Drosophila melanogaster: one gene and its partner. Each later gene encodes a partner of the first gene's protein in a complex. Each region holds a gene or a part of one and is shown on either strand. Other genes may lie near its edges. A codon is read from its position in the direction of its gene.

Region 1 (5,788 bases):
ATTCCTGTAAAGTGTTTTGTGAATGAGGAGGGCACTTACACCAAGGAAGCTCCTGATTTTCTACGCGGAAAATCAGTGTTGGATCAGGGAAATTCCCTAGTCCTCGACCGCATAGCAGAGGATGTAGTCCACTCCTCAAAGCTGGAACATTCCTATCCTATTGATTGGCGCACAAAAAAGCCTGTGATAATTCGTGCCAGTGAGCAGTGGTTCATTAATACCGAAAAGCTAAAGACGCCTGCTGCAGATGCCTTGGAACAAGTGGAGATCTATCCTAGAGCCAATGCTGAGGCCAGCAAGAAGGCATTGCTCACACAACTCCAGAAGAGACCATATTGGTGCATCTCCAGGCAGCGAGCGTGGGGCGTACCCATTCCTGTTCTCTACAGTCGGGAGTCCGGAAAAGTGGTACTTAATTCCGCTCTTATTGAACATCTTTGCAATCTGCTCCGCAAGGAGGGATCAATCGACTTCTGGTGGGTAAAATCCGTGGAGGAACTGGTACCCGAGCATTTACTTCGTGAACTTCACCATGAAGCCAAAGATCTTGTCAAGGGCACTGACATACTGGACATTTGGTTCGACTCTGGTAGCACATGGTCCGCTGTGCTGGGCAAGGATAAGATAGCCGATCTGTATCTTGAGGGTTATGACCAATTCACCGGTTGGTTTCAATCATCACTGCTTATGAGCATTGCTGCTCGGGAATGTGCACCGTACAAGTGAGTAGATACGTAATACCAAAGACTCTATTCTAGTGTAATACTTTTTAATGAAAAACCTATTCAATATTAATATCCAATAGGGCCCTCTTCGTTCACGGATTTACCGTGGATGAGAAAGGATACAAGATGTCGAAATCTTTGGGAAATGTAATTTCCCCAAAGCAGATAACCAAGAAATATGGTACGGATGCACTGCGTTGGTGGGTTGCCTCCCATGGAACGCAGCACATGTCCATTACAGTGAGCGATAAGCTACTGCAGCAAGCGGCAGAAAATCTATGCAAGATCCGCGGAACTATGCGATATTTAAAAGGCGTAATTGGAGAGAAACAATCGGGGGAGAAGCTTATACGAACTTCGGATAAGAGCTATCTTAATCGTTATTTGTTAAGCCAGCTGGTTGAATTTGAATCTGAGGTAGGAAATTTTGTTAATCTTAGTTTTTCAACTAATCATGTCAATCGCTTTTAAGGTGGAGAAGCTATACCAAGCTTATGAGTACAATCGTGTTGTCGCCTGTGTCCAAAACTTCATTGCAAATCAGGTGTCCGCCGTCTATGTGCATCTCATCAAGGATCGTCTTTATTGTGGTGATGATCACGAGCTACTGGCCATTCGTCAAACTCTTACCCACTGCTATCAACAACTCTGCAAGAGCTTATGGCCCATTGTTCCCTTCCTGGTGGAGGAAAGCTGGAGCTACTATGACACCACAGGTGGTGCATTCCACGAGCAAATTGTTCAGACTAATCCTGAATGGCAGGACACCAAAGCCACTGAAGTGATTAATGCAGCGTTCGATGTTAAACGACTTATTAACCAACAGGCTGGAGATGTTAACACCTGGCACTTGGCCGTGACCATCAAAGGAAAGGAAAGAAGCCAGCTGGATTTGCTGCGAGAACTTCACAGCCCTCTTGGAGAGTCTGTGAGCAATTCTGAATTATGCGAGATATTGCAAGTGGGGTCAGTTACGCTCTTACAGTCCCATAATAGCGACTTGGATATTGCTTTAAGTAAACTTCAGATATCACTGTGCCCACGTTGTCGTCGCTATGGTCTGGAGGATGAGCAGAAAACGTGTCAACGTTGCTCTGACGTTATGGAGGCAAAGAACTAAGCGTAATGATGTGTTGTTATTTAGGTGTAAGGAATACATTTATGTTTTTAAAAACTCTGTAAGCATTTCATGATGGTGTCTCGCAGCTTGAGCCGGGTTGTTGGCTTTCCGCCGCAGATAATATGCGTCTCGTTGTCCTCGAACTTAATGACTGTGTCCTCATTGACAAGGTTCAGAGTCAGAGCGCCGCCAGTGCGGTCTAGCTTGATGTTGGAGAAGCCATCCTGTGCCAGCTTCTTCATCACTGCATCTACATCAATGCTGCCATACTCGTATTTGACGTTCTTCAGCACATCCTCCTTTGTCGGAGCGCTGTTGCTCGAGATGGTCTCGTCTTTAACGCTATCCGCACATGGCTGGATGCAGTGGACCTTGTCCTTAACTTGCAAAACTCCTGTCAATGTGGAGAAGGTCACGCCGGCCGCCACCTCCTTTGGCGATATCTTTTGGGCCAGTTCCGAGGTAATGTAAATTCGATCCAGCTTCCGTTTTAATGGCAGACGTATGATCTCGCCGCACTTGAACGTTATTATCTTCTTATCCGGCTGTTCAATGAACAAATTTGGGGCCGAGGGATGTGGTTTTGTGTATGCCTCTGGGATGACAAGCACATTTGGTTTCAACTCCTTGATCAGCTTATTTGCCTGCTGATAATTCAAAGAGGTGTCGATGGGACAGTAAAAAGCCTTCATGGCCAGTGGTTGGAAGGGCGCCAGTACTTGCAGATACGGAAAGTCCGGCTCCGTGAATATGATGGAGTTGTTAGGGTTATTGCCCCACATCTCGATAAAGTGAACAGCGTCGCCGAAACGCAAGCTAGGATGGCCACAAAAGACCACGCAGGGCTGTAAGGAAGACAGAGAATTTGTAGTATGAAGTTTTCACAATTATGTTAGACAAACCTGCCGGAAGTCCTTGCTAAAGCCCTCGGAGAACACATGGTTATAGTGCTTCAGCTTGTTGTTGCGAAGGTAAAAGGCATGTGGGAAAGGATCGTCTGGAAGATACACTTTGTTCTGCTTGGCGGAACTAAGCCACTCGGCCAGGATATTAGAATACGCCAAGGAGCTGTCTGCCACAGGGGAAATAAAGAACATGGGAACATTGTTTAGGCCAGCGTTTTCCAAATTCTGGGTGAGGCACTCAAAGAGGTCATAGACAACGCCCGAAGGATAACAGGGAATCAAGGCAGACCCATTGTTGCGGATCGTCAAGGCCACATTCATGCAGAGCTCGCCCAGCTTCGTGTCCGGATTTACCGTCGGCGCCTGCGTCAGTCCGGTCATAATGAGTACATCGGCGTGCTTCAGCGCCGACTGATTGATGGGCCGCGGATGTGTGGTCAACGTGGAGGAACCACTGACATAGCAAATCTTTTCATGCGCCGTGCTCAGTACCCAGTTGCTCGAGCCCAGGCAGTAGCCCGAGCTGACAGGAGTGGCGATAAAAGCTCCGAGGATGTCCAGCTTCTCGTCGTAGCCCATGATGGTCACCTTGGACAGACTGCCTTGGACATCCTTAAGACTAAAGATAGTGCGCCACTTCTTGGCGCGAAAGGCTTCGCTCAAGGGACTGGGCAGCAGATGAAGCTTCTCCTTCCACAAGCGCGCGGTGCACGCCTTGGGCGACACTTCGATATAGTCCACCAGCTCCTCCAGGAAAAATCGGCCGATCTGCAGCGTTGGCTCCGTGGCATAGACTTTGCCCTTGAACCCCGTGTTTTCCGTGATATACGGCAAGGCCAGCATATTAAGATAATTCGAGATAAGTATCACATCCACTTCGCTGAAATCCAGCATTTTGTCCATGGGTAGATTAAACTCGGGCGTCGAGTCCACGAAAACCCGGCCACAGCAGTCCTTCAACTCGCCATCCATTTGGGGATCATGATCCCGACTGGGCACGAAGTTGGGCAGATTGGACCACTTCAGTGACTGAACGAAGGGCAGCGGAAGGAAATTCAGGACTGTCTGCTCCGTGAGACCGCAGTCCAGCATAATCCGCAGGCCCTTGAAGGTAATGATATAACATGGCTTGGCCAGGTCCCCGCTGAGACAATACTGCAAAGTGGATAGTCACTTCCGCTAATTAAGTTGTTATTTACTTCTCAGGATGACTTACCAATCGCATTTTATTAAACCGACAGTGCCGATTAGACGATGCAAGTTTGTTTATATTTGGACCAGGGATGGGGAACGATTTGGTTCACTTATGAACCGGAATCAGCACCCGGCTAAATCATTAACCATAGGTACCAAAATTAGTTAATTACAAATTTTGGTAAATGTTTTACTACTTGTTAAACTGTAGTCATCACGCTTTAACATTTGTGCAACCACATTTTTTTCACTCCACTTGTTGCAGTGCTGTTGGTTTCCATCCCTGGTCTCTTTATTTGGTTTTTCGCAAATTTGAATAATGTCCCAGCAAATTCGCGTGGTACAATGCATTCAATGCAAAATGTACCAGGTGAGTGCAAACAAACTGAAATATATCTTAGAACTCAATAACTACTTATATATATATACCTAATTTAAACAAGGTGGACTTCGTGAAAAAGGCAAGCACATGGCAGTGTAAAATTTGCCGCCAAAAGCAAAGTTTGCTCAAGGAATTCTTTCGAGGATCGGCAGCGGAATGCCGGGTTAAGGTGCAGCATCTCAACTTAGAGCGCGGAATGCAGGAGGAATGTCTGAACACGGGCTTATTCCTCACGGCAAAGCAACAGCTCGAAGAGGAGAAAGACTGCCAAGAAAAAGAGGAAAACACCACACCTCAGAAGAAAACAAATAAATGGGCAAACTATGTGGATAATACCATTGAAACTACTCAAAAGCCTGCAGCAAAACCTACGAAAACCGATGAACTTTCCGACGAAATCTCTATGAACTTTAAGAAAACCAGGAACACAGGGCCACGATCCTCTAAACGTTCCGCTGAAAATATGCCAACAGTTACTAAGAAAATTTGCTCTAAGTGGAACGACTTCTTGTAATTCCTTAAAAATTATATATCATATATATAAATATATATTTGAATTAATTTCAATTAGAACTTATTTATAAAGCGAAGAATATTATCAGTGCTAGATTATCTCCAATTAAGATTTCCAGTTACGTGAATGAATTAAGCTTATCTTTATTAAAAAAATAATTTAATTATAATTGTTCAATACGTTTTATTAAAATCCGCTTCGTTCTAGTATTTGTGTATATGAGTGTGAGGGCCATAATGTTCACATTCAAACTGAATACATTGCCTTGCCTTGCACTAATGCTAGAAAAATACAAGTTTTATGATCCACTAAATATTGTTAGTTAAAGTTGGGGTAATTTGGGATTCACTAATCGCCGATTGGGCAACATGTTGGACATGCTTAGCTCCTTGTGCCCCAATCGGTTTGAATACTCGTGTATAGATTAGAGTTGGTTATAGTTAAGTGACGCCTGGTCGCGCTTTTATCTTGAGAGAAATTGTAATATTAGTAGCCGACTACGTGTATATAACCTATTCTCGCCGCTTAGGTGCTGGCAGGAGTGCCTCCGACACCCTCCTTCTTGGCCACCTTCTCATCGGAGCCGGTCTCATCGATGTCATTGGACTCGGTCTCCGTGCCGGGTGCACCACCTGCCTTGCCCGATGACCTACGTCGCTTGCGGTTGACACGCCATGGACGCATTGGAAACTTCATCGCCGGCAATGGCTCCATGCCAAGCACTTTGTAAATCTGTCGAAAGGCAATGTAGCGCAGGAAGAGCTGTGCGGACACAGTGAGATCCTCGCGCTCCTGTTTGGTCAACTCGAGTAGAGCGTCTGTGGGGTCCTTCTCGCAAGGATCCAGCAGGCCCGGTCCGTTGATTAGAAAGCCTGACGATAAGGCCTCCATGATGCGACGCATGCAGTCACCGGGCGAAATGGGAAAGCCAGCCGACGAGATGACCTT
Region 2 (7,259 bases), on another chromosome or scaffold:
AATTAAGCAGACTACTCCAAACGCACGCCCGCTCTCATCCTCGTATTCTATCACACGCACACACATGCGTATCGAACTGCTCTTCACATGATTTCTCGCGTAATTCAGTTGGAATTTTTCACACACAATTCGTTTCTTCTTTTTTTTTAGCCGTTTTACCTTGACAAGTTTTGGTTCTCGTTGCGATTGCGTTGTATTTCAAGTTTATCACACATACATATACTCACACCTACACACGCAGCAAAACGTGAACAAAATACACATGTTGGTTATAAAAAATAAGCCAAGTTATATTATGCCAGTTGTATTATTGTGCAGCACAAAACCCGCCCAAAAATTAATGGAAAATTACAGTTGTTGTCGGTCGGCGTCGCTGCTGCTTCTTCCGTTCTTTCTTACTGTCTCACTCTCCCTTCTCACATATCCTTATAAGCACTAACAATTTCTGCTTCTCGCTCACTTTCGTTGCGCTGCCGATGGAGCTCTCTCTTTCACTCCTTGCTGCCTCTATGCCTTTTATGCACTCCCCACACACCCGCACACAGAGTGACATTTGAAGCACATACAGACGCACACGACTGGTTCTTTCGAGAATCGAACATTACCGAATTTATCAAATTGCGCTTCGCAATTGTGCATTTCCTGTGCAGATCGCAGGCCTCAATCGCGGCACGATTGTTTTTCGCCCTTTAGCAACGTTCCCTGTCAATTTCTGTGGATTTATATTGCAATTTGCGTGCGAACACGCGACCGTTTCGCGATAGAGCTGGTTCACGAATCGATTGATGAGCGATGTTATCGATAGACCTGATAAGCGAGAGGTGGATGTGCTCGCTAGATTCGCCAAGGTTGATGACTCCGCTAAGTGAATGGTCCTATTACAAAATATCGATGACATCCAAATTGCTTGTTAAATATAGTTTCAAATTTAACTGTAACATAAAAAAAATGTATTAAATCAATTTTAAAAAAACCCAACTTAGCATTTGTTATTTGGGGAAAGTCCATGCTATTCCCACCTACTCAACTGACAGGACGCATCACCAACTAAATTCGTTAAAAACATTGTGATTATTATAAACAATTAGTATTATTTATCCTGTGGCTTATGCGATTGGTTGTCATGCGATATTCTGGCTTTCACCATGTTCTCTGTACTACTGTACAGTTCCGCCGCTAATCAGACGTCGTCATCACTGATTCACCAGTTACTCATATGTGATGAGCAAGAGGGAGTTTTTGCCCGTGCCCTTACTTTCCCATTCGTCGCCTAGCGAAGGCAATGATGAAACAGCGAGGAATTCCATTTGGAGCTTAACTGTGTAGCGAAGCGAATCGCTTCCATTAGGGACTTTCCTCAATTCATAAACTAAATATACATATGTATTCACTTTAATGCTAAAAATTAACGAAGCAATGCCTGAAATCAAGAGACTTTGCCTCGCCACCGAGAATAGTCATATCGCAGCCAATGCCATGCTGCTAACAAAGATAGATGGTATGTTTGTGACATACATATCTTATAACACCGGATCATATTACATTACCTAACCCACTTAGAACTCAATTCCCAAGTCCTGTCGCAGCGCGCAGAAATCGAAAACTTGACGAGGGCGGTTAAGACACTTACGGAATTCGTTAAGCAGTCGATGAAAACGACCAAGCCGAAGGCGAAGGGAAATCCGGACGATGATTTTCCAATTATGTATGAGGAGGATCTGGTCGAAGTGAATCACAAGATAAGCCAGGACTCCAGGGGGATCTATGTAAGTTTCTCCTTCCTCATGCTTTTCCATCAATAGAATATTATATAGTTGTACTTATATGATCCCTGATCAGACGAATTCCATGCGGAAATTCCTGCGCCAGGGAAGATTAAGCCGCACCATAAGACTCATTTTCTCCGAGGACATCCTTCTGAACTACAATATTGATGGGAATCAGAAAAAGAAAAGACTAAAAGATCACGAACATCTGTTTCGTTCGCTTATGAGTAAGTTTAGTGCTCGACATCCAACTTTTAGTGATCCATTCAATAATTATCCCCAACTACAGACGCCATCGGTCAGGTGGAACCGACGCTACCCTCGGAAAAAGTCTTATTCAAAGCCATGAGATGCGTTAAGAATTGCGCAGCCAAAAAGAAGGGCAAGGTAGATGATGACCCCTTGTCCGTTTTGAGCGTGGAGAAATCATAACTGTGCCCATGTGAGATGACATAGTAGAAACAAGGATTTAAATATAAGTAATGATTTACGGGCGAATCAATCCGAATTGAGGATGAATACCCAAATAGTGGTTGATGGATCATCATCACTTTGTTGAGAAGTTATCACTTCATGGAGAAGAGCGAGAGCAAAACAAAAGACGAAAAGAAAACATCGATTTTTCACTATACTATCGATGTTTCACGCCTTCAAAGTGAAATGTCCAAAAAATATGCCTCGTTTTCTTTATATGATTACTAAATGACACATTTTTTTAAAATAATATAATTATTAAATGCCTGGTGATATTAGCATTATCACTCTTGTGAAAGCAATTTATTTAGTTATGGGTTATCCACCAGCAAGAACCTCTTGCGCGGTCACGATGCCATCGCTAGTGGCGGGTGGTTGGCATCAGTGGTGTGCCATCTCTAATTTGCGGTTTACCTAAACCAGGTGGAAGAGTGCAACTCTAGTCTGCATTGGTTGAATCGCGCAAAGGAAAAGGAAACCATGGCGCTGGCCATTAAGAAGCGCGTAGGCACCTACGTGGAAACGGTGGACGGGTCGCCGCCGGTGAAGAAGCTGCGTCTGCAAACGCTGGCCGCTGATGCCAAGGGCGGGAAATCCGGAAAAGTGGGCAATGTGGAGCGCAAGCTGACGGCGCTCAACCAATTGGACGCCTATGTGGGCAACCTGCCCGCCGGTGCGTTGGTCCTGCCCACTGGGACACCAGTTGCTTCGACGGGAGCCCCGTCAACAGGTGTCATCGGAAATCCGCCGGCTGCGGCGACTGGAGCTCCCCCAATGACGGCCGCGAATAGCAGGGAACTGCTGGAGCTCTTGGTCAAGATAACCGATGAGATATCCTATGAGGACGTGGAAATGGGCGAGCTTAAGGAGGTGGCCAGCAAGATCTTCCAACTGTATCAGCTGCAGGAACGCGATAGCGACACCTCCATCCGGGTGAAGCTGCTCGAGCTGCTGTCCGGATTGGGTTGCGAGTGTGCCACCGAGCAGGCGCTTACCATGATCATCGACTACTTTATCTTCTTGTTGAGGAAGGAGGTGTCCCAAAAGGTGCTCGCCCAGGGCATGATGTGCCTGTTTCGAATCGGGGAGCGCAGGAAGCACATGTTGCCCATATCGTACAAAACCCAGGTGGCCCACCTAGCCAAGGAGCAGCTGCGCTCCGGTTCGGCGCATACGCAGAAGAACGCCATGCTGGTAATCGGTCGTTTTGCCACCAAAATGGAGGGTGAGCGTCATTACGTATGGAAGTTAGCCTTCTACATCGACTCGCAGGACTCGAGCGTTCGTGCCCAGGCTCTGCACGCCCTGCTGACCCTCGGCGAACGGGGATCCCAACTGCCGGCGGTGCTCTATAAGCGTGCCGTCGAGGCCATGAAGGATGACTACGAGTGTGTGCGCAAGGAAGCTCTACAGCTGGTCTTCATGCTGGGCAATCGGCATCCGGACTACATTTTACCCTCGGACCGCCAGCAGGAGGAGCTGCGCATGATAGACGCTGCGTTCAGCAAGGTCTGCGAAGCCCTGTGCGATCTATCGCTGCAAATTCGCGTGCTCGCAGCGGAATTGCTCGGTGGGATGACCGCCGTAAGCAGGGAGTTCCTACACCAGACACTCGACAAAAAGCTGATGAGCAATCTGCGCCGGAAGCGAACGGCGCACGAGAGAGGTGCTCGCCTGGTGGCCAGCGGTGAGTGGTCATCGGGTAAACGGTGGGCGGACGATGCGCCGCAAGAGCACCTCGATGCTCAGAGCATCTCAATTATAGCCAGCGGCGCCTGTGGCGCCCTTATACATGGCCTAGAGGATGAGTTCCTCGAGGTGCGTACTGCGGCAGTGGCCTCCATGTGCAAGCTGGCCCTCTCTCGACCGGATTTCGCGGTGACCAGCCTAGATTTCCTTGTGGACATGTTCAACGATGAGATCGAGGATGTGCGGCTGAAGGCCATCTATAGTTTAACGGCCATTGCCAAGCACATAGTGCTGCGCGAGGATCAGCTGGAGATAATGCTTGGATCGCTTGAGGATTACTCCGTGGACGTGCGTGAGGGACTACATCTCATGCTGGGCGCCTGTAGAGTGTCCACACAAACGTGCCTGCTAATGGTGGTGCAGAAGCTGCTAGATGTGCTGGCCAAGTATCCACAGGATCGTAACTCCACCTATGCCTGCATGCGCAAGATTGGCCAGAAGCATCCACATTTGGTGATGGCTGTCGCCGTTCACCTGCTTTACGTGCATCCCTTTTTCGAGACGCCCGAACGCGATGTCGAGGATCCAGCGTATCTGTGCGTTCTGATACTTGTCTTCAATGCTGCAGAACATTTGGTGCCCATTATCAGTTTGCTGCCCACGGCCACCCATCGCCATTACGCCTATCTGAGAGACTCGATGCCGAATCTGGTGCCCCAGTTGCCCATTGAGGGTGCGTCCTCGGCGAGTGCGACGCACAGGATCGATTCGGCTATGCACCAAGCGGGCAGTTCGGCGGAGTACCTGCAGATGATTCTCAGTCACATCGAAGAGATCTTCACCATGACTGACGAGCGCTTGGAGCTGCTCCAGACTGCCCAATCTAATCTGCAGGTTTGTATGCCCGCTGGGCTTACTACAATATAAATGAACACTAATGTTTACTATGTTTTTTTTTTAATAAACTTTAGCGCCTGGGATCCATTGATGCGGGCATGTACGGCACCTCAAACTTTCTAGAGACCTTCTTGGCGGCCCAGATCCAGATCGAACAGATGCAGCGTTGCGCCAGCACGCAACGAAGCAGGGTGCCCTTGAAGGAATCACTGGCAGCACTCATCCGAAACTGTCTCAAGCTGCAGCACACTTTCTCCGGCCTCAATTACGGCGATATCTTGCAGGTGAAGCAGCTGCGCCTGAGGGCTTGCGCGCTTCACTTGGTCCTCGTGGTCAGGGATCGCTCACAGAGTGCATTGGGCCCGTGCCAGATGCTTTTGCAAACCGCCGGCGATATAAGTGAGTTCATCAAGGCGAATACGAAGGATGAGGAGGAGAAGCCACCGGTGGTAGAGACCGATATGCCCATGAAAGAGTCGGTCAGTAGGGATGCCCAGCCGGATAGCTTCACCCGCCAGCTGCTAATCAAACTGGATGGCATATCGGATCCCAAGCCGGGTCGCGTCTTTCGCGAAATTCTGCCGCTGGTCCAGCAGGCTCCTCCGCTTGCATTGCCACCCGCCAATGACAAAATACGCCGCTGTGTGGCCAACATCCTTGAGCCGTGTCCGCTGCAATCGCAGGATAATGTAATTAAGGTCACGGCTGGCCTGATAGCAGCCGTTCCTTTTGTTGCGGAAATCGACAATCTGCTGGAGTCCCAGAAGGCGGACATGCGGATCAAGATCAAGTATCCGGACCAGCACATGCACACCGTGGTGCCGAAGCAGAGTGACTTCAAGCCCATTATGACGGAGCAGGGCGAGCACAAGACCAATGTGCGCCTGCGCACCACAATCCTGCTGTCGCACAGCGTTTGGACGGAGTCGTCGCTGGTGGAGATCCAACTGTGCCTGGCCGTGCGTCCCGGCAGCGAACTGGAGCTCTGCAAGCCGGCAAAGGTGCTGTTCGCACCCAAACCAGTCAGGCGGGGCATTTAGCCTGACTTCCAGGTAATGGACTAGGTGCTTTTTGTCCTGGCGACGCGGAGCGAGAAGCTGACAAGGCCACACAGCCGCTGGAGGAGGAGGAGAAGGAGGGGGAGGAGGAGAGCCCAGGGAATTGGCGCAACGAGCAACTGTTATTTAAATATATGTATGTGATTGTTTAAGATACCATAGCAGTTGGTTGCCAAAGTTCTTTCTAAATCGAAAAAACCGAATGTTTAGAGCATCAGTTGTGCGTAGCTTACTTATATCATAATCATATGTTTAAGATGAATTCATTTCAAATAAAGTGTGTACCATAAATCTTTAAGAAAATCGTACATCATTTAAAATACTTACTGTGGGGGGGAATGAAATGCCTAAGACTTGTTCTTTTCATATAGTTTCTATAGTTTATTTCTCATTATAGGTTTTACAGCTTACACGTTTTCTGATCATTTTTCTGGATAACCTTTTCTCCATTTTCTCGTTTTGATTATTCTCCTGCTTTTTCTGATCTGGTTGTGGATTTTGTAGACGCTGCTATCATTTATGCTTGTTTGTTGTATACGAATTTTTTTTTAAATCTTAAGTTTATATTTGATTCGCTAAAAACTCATTTTAAAAAAGTACTTTGTATTCTTGTTGTTTTATCATTTGTTTTCGATTTCATTCTGCGTTATATTTAAGTTATTGTTTGGGCCTTTGGTTAGCAATAATAATCGTAATAATCATATGCAAGTAAATTGATCAAGTTGGATATTACTGAGTGGTTAGATAAATAGTTCTTGTTGCAAACATTTTTCAGCATGCTGTGAAAAATATACGTACAATACAAACACATCGATTTCCAAACCACACAAACACACAAAAGTCGATAATTAATAGCGTTTATCGTTAATTGTTCATCGTGTCTCATTGTTTCTTGCTAGGAATCACAGTATTGTGCAAATTACCTTTATTAGTTTCAAAATGTTTGCTTGGGATGTTGTTTAGCTTTCGGCATTCTGAGTTTTCAATTCTGAATTCCTCCGACTGGCGCTTATTAGAGTGTGTGAATTCTTATGATTCTGTAAATGTAGATGTAAATGTAAAATAGAACCCGACACAGGCAGTGCAGTTGTTGTTGTTGTTCTTGTTGTTGTGGTTCTATCGCTATCGAAGTCTAAGCTCTGTCATCGAAGACGAGCGATTATTTCGAAAATTCCACTGATGAACACTTTAGTTAGTTTTTTATTTCATACGACAAAGGAGGAAATATTAGTTTAGTTAATTGGTTTACGTTTGGTTTCTCAGTTTCCACATTGTTATTGACTATTTTGAGTTTTTCTTTTTTGTTTTTGGGAAATCACAATATCTATGCAAAATCTTATACATCTCTCTATATGTTTTGTATGTATATATATAT

The links. The genes of interacting proteins can lie anywhere in the genome.
Region 2: the proteins of IntS9 (region 1) and IntS4 are in contact, whole or in part, in a cryo-EM structure (PDB 7SN8), measured with the Drosophila melanogaster proteins. Residues at the interface, in NP_648838.3 of Drosophila melanogaster: Arg2 (codon at 3,972), Arg23 (codon at 3,848), Met88 (codon at 3,653), Lys90 (codon at 3,647), Met91 (codon at 3,644), Asp93 (codon at 3,638), Glu96 (codon at 3,629), Asp98 (codon at 3,623), Arg173 (codon at 3,398), Lys176 (codon at 3,389), Asp203 (codon at 3,308), Leu205 (codon at 3,302), Gly206 (codon at 3,299), Gly500 (codon at 2,360), Glu501 (codon at 2,357), Ile502 (codon at 2,354), Arg504 (codon at 2,348), Val544 (codon at 2,228), Lys545 (codon at 2,225), Asp546 (codon at 2,222); in NP_572488.1 of Drosophila melanogaster: Arg105 (codon at 3,033), Leu108 (codon at 3,042), Val112 (codon at 3,054), Thr115 (codon at 3,063), Asp116 (codon at 3,066), Asp147 (codon at 3,159), Thr148 (codon at 3,162), Ser149 (codon at 3,165), Lys153 (codon at 3,177), Glu156 (codon at 3,186), Gln193 (codon at 3,297), Met196 (codon at 3,306), Arg200 (codon at 3,318), His231 (codon at 3,411), Lys234 (codon at 3,420), Gln264 (codon at 3,510), Asp265 (codon at 3,513), Ser266 (codon at 3,516), Arg269 (codon at 3,525), Tyr302 (codon at 3,624).

Annotation. Positions count from the first base shown.
Region 1 is NT_037436.4:16,101,589-16,107,376, forward strand, and holds IntS9 (integrator 9), read right to left. Parts: upstream 4,040-5,788; 5' UTR 3,976-4,039; coding exon 3,967-3,975; intron 3,906-3,966; coding exon 2,748-3,905; intron 2,691-2,747; coding exon 1,893-2,690; 3' UTR 1,846-1,892; downstream 1-1,845. Other genes in the region: IleRS-m (Isoleucyl-tRNA synthetase, mitochondrial), read left to right, coding at 1-722, 806-1,142, 1,198-1,845; CG43295 (uncharacterized protein), read left to right, coding at 4,264-4,314, 4,388-4,840; Zn72D (Zinc-finger protein at 72D), read right to left, coding at 5,366-5,788. UniProt on the Drosophila melanogaster protein: Component of the integrator complex, a multiprotein complex that terminates RNA polymerase II (Pol II) transcription in the promoter-proximal region of genes.
Region 2 is NC_004354.4:8,554,160-8,561,418, reverse strand, and holds IntS4 (integrator 4), read left to right. Parts: upstream 1-2,637; 5' UTR 2,638-2,720; coding exon 2,721-4,823; intron 4,824-4,900; coding exon 4,901-5,866; 3' UTR 5,867-6,180; downstream 6,181-7,259. Other genes in the region: CG12112 (uncharacterized protein), read left to right, coding at 1,396-1,498, 1,561-1,766, 1,840-1,993, 2,056-2,198. UniProt on the Drosophila melanogaster protein: Component of the integrator complex, a multiprotein complex that terminates RNA polymerase II (Pol II) transcription in the promoter-proximal region of genes.